Canis lupus familiaris: one gene and its partner. The protein of the gene in region 1 purifies or fractionates together with the protein of each later gene. This does not show direct contact. Links are inferred from orthologs where the notes say so. Each region holds a gene or a part of one and is shown on either strand. Other genes may lie near its edges.

Region 1 (4,305 bases):
GCTGGGGATTTACCCCAAAGATACAGATGCAATGAAACGCCGGGACACCTGCACCCCGATGTTTCTAGCAGCAATGTCCACAATAGCCACACTGTAGAAGGAGCCTCGGTGTCCATCGAAAGATGAATGGATAAAGAAGATGTGGTTTACTATACAATGGAATATTCCTCAGCCATTAGAAATGACAAATACCCACCATCTGCTTCGACGTGGATGGAACTGGAGGGTATTATGCTGAGTGAAATAAGTCAATCGGAGAAGGACAAACATTATATGGTCTCATTCATTTGGGGAATATAAAAAATAGTGAAAGGTAATAAAGGGGAAAGGAGAAAAAATGAGTGGGAAATATCAGAGAGGGGGACAGAACATGAGAGACTCCTAACTCTGGGAAACGAACAAGGGGTAGTGGAAGGGGAGGTGGGTGGGGGTGGGGGTGACTGGGTGACGGGCACTGAGGGGGGCACTTGATGGGATGAGCACTGGGTGTTATGCTATATGCTGGCAAATTGAACTCCAATAGTTTTTTTTTTTAAAGAAAAAAGGGCCAGTAGGGAAGGCCTCTCGGAGGAAGCGGCCTTTGTGAAGCTACCAGACTAACGAATGGCGTCTGTGGGAATAGGGGGGGCCCAGGCAGCGGGCACAGCCGAAGGCAAGGCCGGGCGGCGGGCGCTGCTAGAAAGCCCTCGGCCTGGGATCCCTAGTTTCCAAGGGTCGAGCTGCGCTGCACCCCGGCTTGGCAGCCTCCAGCGCGCTGGGCTCGCGCTCAGATTCGACGGGCCCGACAGGCACGCGGAGGGCTTCGCGGGTCCGCTGCTGCGCTGGCGCTTCCCCCGCGGCGGGCGGGCTGGGCTCCGCGGGAGCGGCGGGGGGCGGGGCGGGCTCACCTGCGGGGGCGGGGCTTCCGCCCGCCCCGCCCCTCGGAGGAGCCGCCCGCGGCCCGAGACCCAGGGCGCAGCTGGGAGCCGCCGGGCGTGCGCGGTGTGCGGGACGCGGCCCGGCGCATCTCGGCGGAGCGGGTCCCGGAGCCGCCGGCGCTCAGGTGGGCCCCTCGAGTGCTGGGCGGGGGAGTCCCGGGGACCGCGAGGATGGGGGCGGAGGGTGAGGGCTGGGCCCCGCGCACCCTGGGGCCCGCTGGCCTGGCGACGGGGACGGGCCTTGGGGCTCCTGGGCCCCCTGGGCCCTCCTGCCCCGCCCTGGGGCCCCCCCTCCCGGGTCCCGAGGCCCAGCTGGGGCCGCGCCCCCTCCCCGGTGCGCAGGTAAACAGGAGCGAAGACGGGGCGGGGCCTGGGGGGAGGAGGGCGGGGGCCCTTGTGACGGCGGGGGTGGGGAAGCCGGGGTGCGCGGGGCTGGGCCAGGCCGGCCGCGGTAAGGTGTGCGGTTTAGGGGGCTGGCCTGCAGGTGCGGGCGTGGAGATGGGGCGTATGAGAGGCGGTGTGCGAGGCTCAGGTGTGTGTGATGGTGTACGAAGCTCAGGTGTGTGCGCGACGGGCTCCGGCGGTGGGTGCGGGCGAGGAAGGGACAGGGATGGTCCGTGTAACCGTGTGCGGGCGCCCAGGGACTGTGGGAACGACGTGGAGCTGTCTCAGATGCAACACGTGGGCGGACCTCTGTGCGTCTAATGATGGGGGTGGGGGCCGTGTGTATGGGAGGGAGTTGCTCTGTTTATAGGATTAGGTGCGTGACTCAGAGCTTGCGTGGCTGGGGCGGTCTTTCTGCCTGTTAAGGCGCGGGGAGCCGCAGGGAGGTGGGCGATGTGGGACCCGCATGGACGGGGAGGGTGTGCCTGGGATTAACACTGTCAGCTGTGCGGTTGTACGTGTGTGAAAGGGAGTTTGTTGTTCACGGGACTGAGTGTGGGCAAAAATCATGGGAATAATGGAGCTGTCTGAATGACTCCATGAACGTGTGATCGTAACTTTGTGGGGCTTGTGTGTGACACGGAGTATGGTGAGACATGTACACACATATATACGTATAGTGAGAGAGACTGGTGTCTGCACACACGTATATGTAGAGATTGATGGCAGGGGAGAGCCTGCAGTGTAGAAAATCCGTGGATTATGTGCCTGCCTTCCTGTGTGTCTTGGTGTATGATGTTCGTGAGCAGGTAAGTAGGTACCCAAACCACTAGGCTGCTTACGGCGCCCTGGTGGCTTGAGTGAGGCACATGCCCGAGAGGGTCTATGCAAACACCTCTCTGTGTCTCCACAACTGAATCTGAGTTCAGGAATTGTCTGTATGTCCGTGTTTGAAGCTCTGTGTATCTGTGTGTATGCTGTGTGCAGGTGCGTGAATCTCTGGCTGGCCGGGCAAGGTGTTGGGGGAAGTGGGGAAGGAGATGATAGGTCCACAGTGAATCCCAAGAGTGTGTGTGTGTGTGTGTGTGTGTGTGTGTGTGTGTGTGCGCGCGCGCGCGCATGCGTGCCTGGAGGAGGTGATGGGCATGTAATGGAGAGCTAGCTGCTTGCAGGACCTTATAAGTGCGGGAAAGGTGTGTCATGGGGGTAACTGCAAAGAGATAGCCTGAATGTGAGTGATTTGGGATTTGGTTATCTTTTCACTAGTGAGGGGGGACAGAGTTTCTGTGTGTGTTGGCTTTTTTTCCCAAGAGGAAAATACACCAGTGTGTGGGATTATATTTCCAAGAGGGGAGAGCATACATGTGTTGTTTCTGAAAGAGTATGTGGGTGTGCGTGCACGAGCCTGAGTAAGTGTGTTGCGTTTTTTTTTTTTTTTTTTAAGATTTTATTTGAGAGAGAGAATGAGCCAGGGGAAGAGCAGAGGGAGAGGGAGAAGCCTATTGTGGGACCCAATTCTGGAACCCCTGGATCATACTTGAGCTGAAGGCAGGCGCTTAACTGAGCCACCCAGGCACCCTTGGATTAGGTTTTTTGAAAGGAAAATGTGGATGTGTAGGATTGTATTTTTATTTTTTAGAGGAGAAAGAGAGTGTCCTGTATGTCTTGCTTCAGAGAAAATGTATATTATGTTTTTAAGAAAGAAAGGAGTGTGCATGTTGAGCCGTCTTCTTGTAGAGGGGAGTGTGTGTGTGTACGAGCAGGTGTGTTTCTGAGAAAGTACGTATATATTGCACTGCATTTGAAAAAAGAAAGAGCAGGTATTCAGTTTCTGAGAGGAGGAGAACGTGTGTGTCGCATTGTGTATTTAAGAAGGGAGGGTGTGCGTGTGTTGGGGTCTGTTTCTGGGAGGGGAGTGAGTGTGCTTGTGTGTGAATACAGAGGCTACAGAGGCTCCAGCAGCTGTGTCATTGACTTTGTCACCTACATACAACCACATAAAGTGCCACACATGAGACCCCCACCCATTAGCATCTAGGCCTCAGACTCTGAGCTGTCACAGGGCTAGTGTGACATCCATGGGCCGTGCCTGTCACACGTGTGTCCCAACATGCCTTGGGCTGGCGGAGCCTGTCTGCAGTGGAGGGTGGAGTCCTTGTTCCCTTGGGATCCATCAGGCCCTGGGAGCTGACACACAGGCACCCCCCCATCCCCCTAAATCTAGAGGGCTCCTCTGCTTCCAGTGCCCCAGCCCCTTGGCCCTCTCCTCCGGCCCCACCCCTCCAGCCCCAGTGGTCCGACTGGTTCCCAACAAAAACACCCTAAGAATGAGCTCACGGAGAGGCCGCCTCCACATGCCCCGCCCCACACACCCAGCAGAGGCGTGTGCCTCCAGTCCAGGTCACACGGGGAGTCCTGGGGCCAGGTATCTGGGGCCCTTGGGATAGACAGGGCTGGCCAGGTGAGCTGAGGGCAGGTGAGAGGCCACGAGACCACTGGTTGCCCCAGATTTTGAGTGGCCCTCAGGGCAGGGCCCATGGCTGAGGACAGGCAAAGCTAGACTAGAATGTTTCCAGTTGCCAGCTGGCTGGGATGGGTGCGGGACAGGGAGCCGGCCAGGGTGAGGAGGGACTGATGGGCCTGCTTGCCTGGCCCTGACCCCCCAATCCCTGCTACCCACCCCAGGAACAGCAATGTCCGTGCAGGTGGCAGCCCCTGGAAGTGTGGGGCTGGGCCCGGAGCGCCTGAGCCCCGAGGAGCTGGTGCGGCAGACGCGACAAGTGGTGCAGGGGTTGGAGGCCCTGCGAGCAGAGCACCATGGCCTGGCCAGGCACCTGGCGGAGGCGCTGGCAGGACAGGGCCTGGTGGCTGGCTTGGAACTGCTGGAAGAAAAGCAGCAGGTGGTGAGCCACGCGCTGGAGGCCATCGAGCTGGGACTGGGCGAGGCCCAGGTATGGGGGGGGGAGCAGCTATCCAGCCATGGGGGGGGAGGCTCAGAGCTGGG
Region 2 (4,553 bases), on another chromosome or scaffold:
TTTCTTTGCTGTTGAGTTTAATAAGCTCCTTATAGATCTTGGATACTAGCCCTTTATCTGATACGTCATTTGCAAATATCTTCTCCCATTCTATAGGTTGTCTTTTAGTTTTGTTGACTGTTTCTTTTGCTGTGCAGAAGCTTTTTATCTTAAGTCCCAATAGTTCATTTTTGCTTTTGTTTCACTTGCCTTCATAGATGTCTTGCAAAAAGCTGTTGTCGCCAAGTTCAAAAAGGGGAGCCCTGCAGCAGTCCGGACGGCTCAGAGGTTTAGTGCGGCCTTCAGCCCAGTGTGTGATCCTGGAGACCCTGGATCGGTCCGCGTGGGGCTCCCTGCATGAAGCCTGCTTCTCCCTCTGCGTCTCTCTATATATATGACTCTCATGAATAAATAAATAAAATCTTTAAAAAGGGGGAACCCTTTTGCACTGTTGGTGGGAATGTGAACTGGGGCGCTGCAGGAACCGTCCGGGGAGTGAGTCCACTCTGGAAAACTGTGTGGAGGTTCCCCAAAGAGTTAAAAATAGAGCTACCCTACTACCCGGCAATTGCACTGCTGGGGGTTTACCCCAAAGATACAGATGCAGTGAAATGGCAGGACACCTGCACCCCGATGTTTGTAGCAGCAACGTCCACAATAGCCAAGCTGTGGAAGGAGCCTCGGTGTCCACCGAAAAATGAATGGATAAAGAATCTGTGATATATATGATATATATATATATATATATATATATCATATATATATACACAATGGAATATTGCTCAGCCATTAGAAACGATGAATACCCACCATTTGCTTCAACGTGGATGGAACTGGAGGGTATTATGCTGAGTGAAGTAAGTCAATTGGAGGAGAATCATTATATGGTTTCACTAATATGGGGAATATAAAATATAGTGAAAGGGATTAAAGGGGAAACGAGAGAAAATGATTGGGAAAAATTCGAGAGGATGACAAAACATGAGACTCCTAACTCTGGCAAACAAACAAGGGGTGGTGGAAGGGGAGGTGGGGGGGGGGGTGACCAGCACTGAGGGGGGCACTTGGCGGGATGAGCACTGGGTGTTATACTATATGTTGGCAAATTGAACTCCAATAAAAAATACATATATACAAAACAAAGGCAGACGCTCAACCACTGAGCCACCCGGGCGCTCAATCTTCTTCATTCCTTAACAGAAACTTCCTTTATCTTTCTTGATCCCCTTCCCACGCACTTCGAACGACAGCTTCAACCGCAGAGCCGGGCCTCGCCCTAGGTTCAAATCTTCCCTTCTCTGGCAAAGCGCCCTGAGAACTAGGAACCAATTTTATCTGCAGACCAAACACTTCCTTATTAGGAATACAGCACTGCATTTAAGTTGACTACAACATAAGGTAGTTTTCACAAACCCCGTGACCCCTGTAGAAAGGAAAGCCAAGCGCGTGTGCCCTGGCTCCGAGACACCTCGCAGCCGGCGGAGCCCAAGTTAGGTCCGTAAGGAGCCGCGGGTAAAACTCGGCTCGGCGGCTCCGGGCGGAGAGCGGCGGCAAGGCGGCTGCGCGGCAGGCGGGCGCGGATTGGTCGGCACCGGCCGGGACCGTCGCGCGTGCGCCCTGCTCCTCGCGCGCCGCCCATCCCGCCGCCCGGTCGCCGGTCTACGGCCTCAGGAGTGGTCGGGCAGCTGCCGGCGAGCCGGCGAGCGCACTGCCGGGCGGGCGAACGGCGTGCCCGGCCTGCCTTCTCCGAGGAAGGAGGGAGCGATTTCCCCGTGCTCTAGACCCCCTTCGAGCCACAGCAGCGGGCCCGAGCCGAGAGGGAGAAGCTGAGGAGCCGCCGCCTCTCCCCGCCGCGCCGCCGCCGCCGCCGCCATAGCTGCCATGATGGATCGGAAGTGAGCCTCCGGGCGACGGCTACCGGCGCCGGCGCTCCCAGTCCGGGCTCCCCGGCAGCTGCCGCCGGGCGAAGCACGACGCGGAGACCCCGGTCTCTCTCGGCCTCCGCGACCCTTCCCGTCAGCGCGGGCCCGCTCGCTTCCAGACTGAGCGGCGGGGAGTGGCTCCCGGCCTCCCGCCCCGGCAGTGAGGAAGATGGCGGACCCGGCCGAGTGCAACATCAAAGTGATGTGTCGCTTCAGACCGCTCAACGAGTCTGAGGTCAACCGCGGCGATAAGTACATCGCCAAGTTTCAGGGAGAAGACACGGTCATGATCGCGGTGAGTGCCCCCGGCCCGCCCCTCCGTCCAGCTCCTCTGGGCCAGGCTGGACGCGGGGTTCAAAGAGTGGGTGGCGGGGTGTAACATGGAGAGCGGACAGGGGTATCCGCAGCCCGCCCCCCGGCAGCATTTGCAGGTTCAGAGGGCGGTGGGGAGGGATGCTCCTGGATCGCCCCCACCCCGGCCCCAAGTGCCGGGAGAAGGGAGGCTCCCGGTCCGGGTCTGGACACTCCCCCACCTGGGGCGCTGCAGGAACCGTCCGGGGAGTGAGTGGGGTGCACGTCTGCCTGTGTTTGCGCGTGTGCGCGGTTACTGTTGCTTTGGACTACCTCCAAGTTTACTATTTGTAACACGTGCAAGATGGAAGTTCAGCTAGGAATGCTGAGCTTTAATGATCGGCTTTCCTGTACCTTAAATAGTAAAGATACTTAGTTGTATGGAAATGAAAGATTAGCTACTTATGGACTATATTTGCCTCTCGGGAGGAAGAAAATTATCAAACAACTACAAATATGCATGTATTTCCTGAGTTCACCCACCTGCCCTTTGAGTGATGAATGAACGTTCTATGAAGTACTACAAGCGGCGAATCGAGGACTGTTAAAAGACCTGAGTTTTCTTGTGAAATGGGAGTGAGCAGTTTTGTTCAGGTTTCTAGCACATCTAGCCAACTCAGATTGGGTCAAGTAAGTGCCCAGAATTATATAATCTCTTAGTGGGTTTTATGGGGTAACAGTATAGCGAAGAGTGTTAACTTATTGTGTGTGTATCAAAGTATCATAAACCAGGCTTTTAAAAAAATAAAATTTAATCAGTAAACTGGATTTCTTGTTTAGTATTCGATCCCTAGTTCTATCTTGAAGAGAAATTGATTTTGATAATCTCGAGGATGGAGAAATAGTGTCGTTTGGAGTATAAAACATAGCCAGAGTTGGCTGATTGTTGTCAGGGAAACCTAGATGTAAGGTTTATTTTTTATTTTTATTGGTTTTTTTTTTTTGAGGTTTGATATCTGGTATTGAAAGGTCTCTGAAAATATTTTGCATTCGTAATTCAAGATTAAAATGGGTTGTAGGACACTGCCTACAGAATACTGAATTGTGACTAAAAATTAAATTTATATTTCTTGGTAATGCCATTGTGGCAGAACTTTTTTCTACATGGCTATCCTGGTACAAAATCTAAATGTTAATTTTTTTTTCTCCCATGGCATTCCATATTTAGCATATTGTTTGCACAGTTTAGTTTGGAAATAGGACAAAGAAGGTCACAGGAGAAGGGACTTTGATAATTAAAAGCATTGATCTATAAAACAAGACTGAAGTTCTTTAAAAGTTTTTGTGTGACAGTTTGCAAAGTTCAGCTTTAGAAAAATGAATGTTATAGCTCTTTGTTGCTGGGTAGGCTTTTGGCAACAAGTCATTAAATTGCATACGAATAACTGCCAGCTACTGTGTGAAGACTGGGGGGGCTGGTTTTTTGTTAACAAGTTCTTGGGAGAAACTATAAATGACGTGTTAACACTAAGAAGCACAGAAGTAGTCACCTTTTCCTTTAGAATGCTCTCTGACGTGGAATCAGGAAGCTTGCAAGGGCTGGGTTAGTTGGCAAACTGGATACTAGTTTCTCATAGAATTTTTGTGATTATTGAACTATGGCAGTAATTGACACAAAACAATTTTCCTTTTAGACTTGTATTAAGAATGTATTATTTTTTGCAGATTTGCGTCGGTGTTCAAACAAATCTATAAGTATTATCAAGATTCATTTGTAGGAATGATAAGATTTAGGATTCACAAACTATGTTGAGAAAGCAACTTTCTGCCCAAATACGACATATGAGGAGTTAAAAGAAAAAAATTAATTACCACAGGAAGCACACTTGTATACTAGGTTATTTCCTTTGGATAAAGTTCTTAAAAGTTCCTTATTTAAGTTTCTTAACAATGTAAATAAATTTAAATGATAATAGAAATAAAGGATAGGTGATTGAATTGTGAATCAGTAATACACACTTGGCCTTTAGGTAAACTGGTAACCATTTTTAGTCTTTTTTCTTTTTTAAGTTTAAGCAGAAATACAACGAAGTCACATGGCCCTAAAGGGGCCATGTTTAGTTCATATTTTCAAGAACTGGTCTTTTGATATACAAAGTCATTGATTACTCTGAGGTCTCAATTTTTTTAATGAATTTTTTAAGGCTGTTTGAAAATTTATAAGGGATAGCTGGGAGAGTGAAATTTGAAAATCTTTAGGTAAAGTCATGTCTTGGTTTGTTTTGTTCATTTTACTAAATCCTGATTCAAAATCAACAGTTTTAAGAAGGAATTGCTGCAATGCGGCATTTAAAACTAAAT

Evidence for each region.
Region 2: the proteins of KLC3 (region 1) and KIF5B purify together in Homo sapiens (affinity purification with mass spectrometry; 3 studies listed by BioGRID and IntAct, with this or other methods). This does not show direct contact. The link is inferred for Canis lupus familiaris from reciprocal best matches to the Homo sapiens genes KLC3 and KIF5B.

The regions. Positions count from the first base shown.
Region 1 is NC_049222.1:110,906,824-110,911,128, reverse strand, and holds the start of KLC3 (kinesin light chain 3), read left to right. Parts: upstream 1-1,372; 5' UTR 1,373-1,415; coding exon 1,416-1,476; intron 1,477-3,986; coding exon 3,987-4,252; intron 4,253-4,305. UniProt on the Homo sapiens protein: Kinesin is a microtubule-associated force-producing protein that may play a role in organelle transport. Plays a role during spermiogenesis in the development of the sperm tail midpiece and in the normal function of spermatozoa.
Region 2 is NC_049223.1:12,675,195-12,679,747, forward strand, and holds the start of KIF5B (kinesin-1 heavy chain), read left to right. Parts: upstream 1-1,618; 5' UTR 1,619-2,070; coding exon 2,071-2,196; intron 2,197-4,553. Other genes in the region: phosphate carrier protein, mitochondrial-like, read right to left, coding at 1,218-1,314, 1,448-1,618. UniProt on the Homo sapiens protein: Microtubule-dependent motor required for normal distribution of mitochondria and lysosomes. Can induce formation of neurite-like membrane protrusions in non-neuronal cells in a ZFYVE27-dependent manner.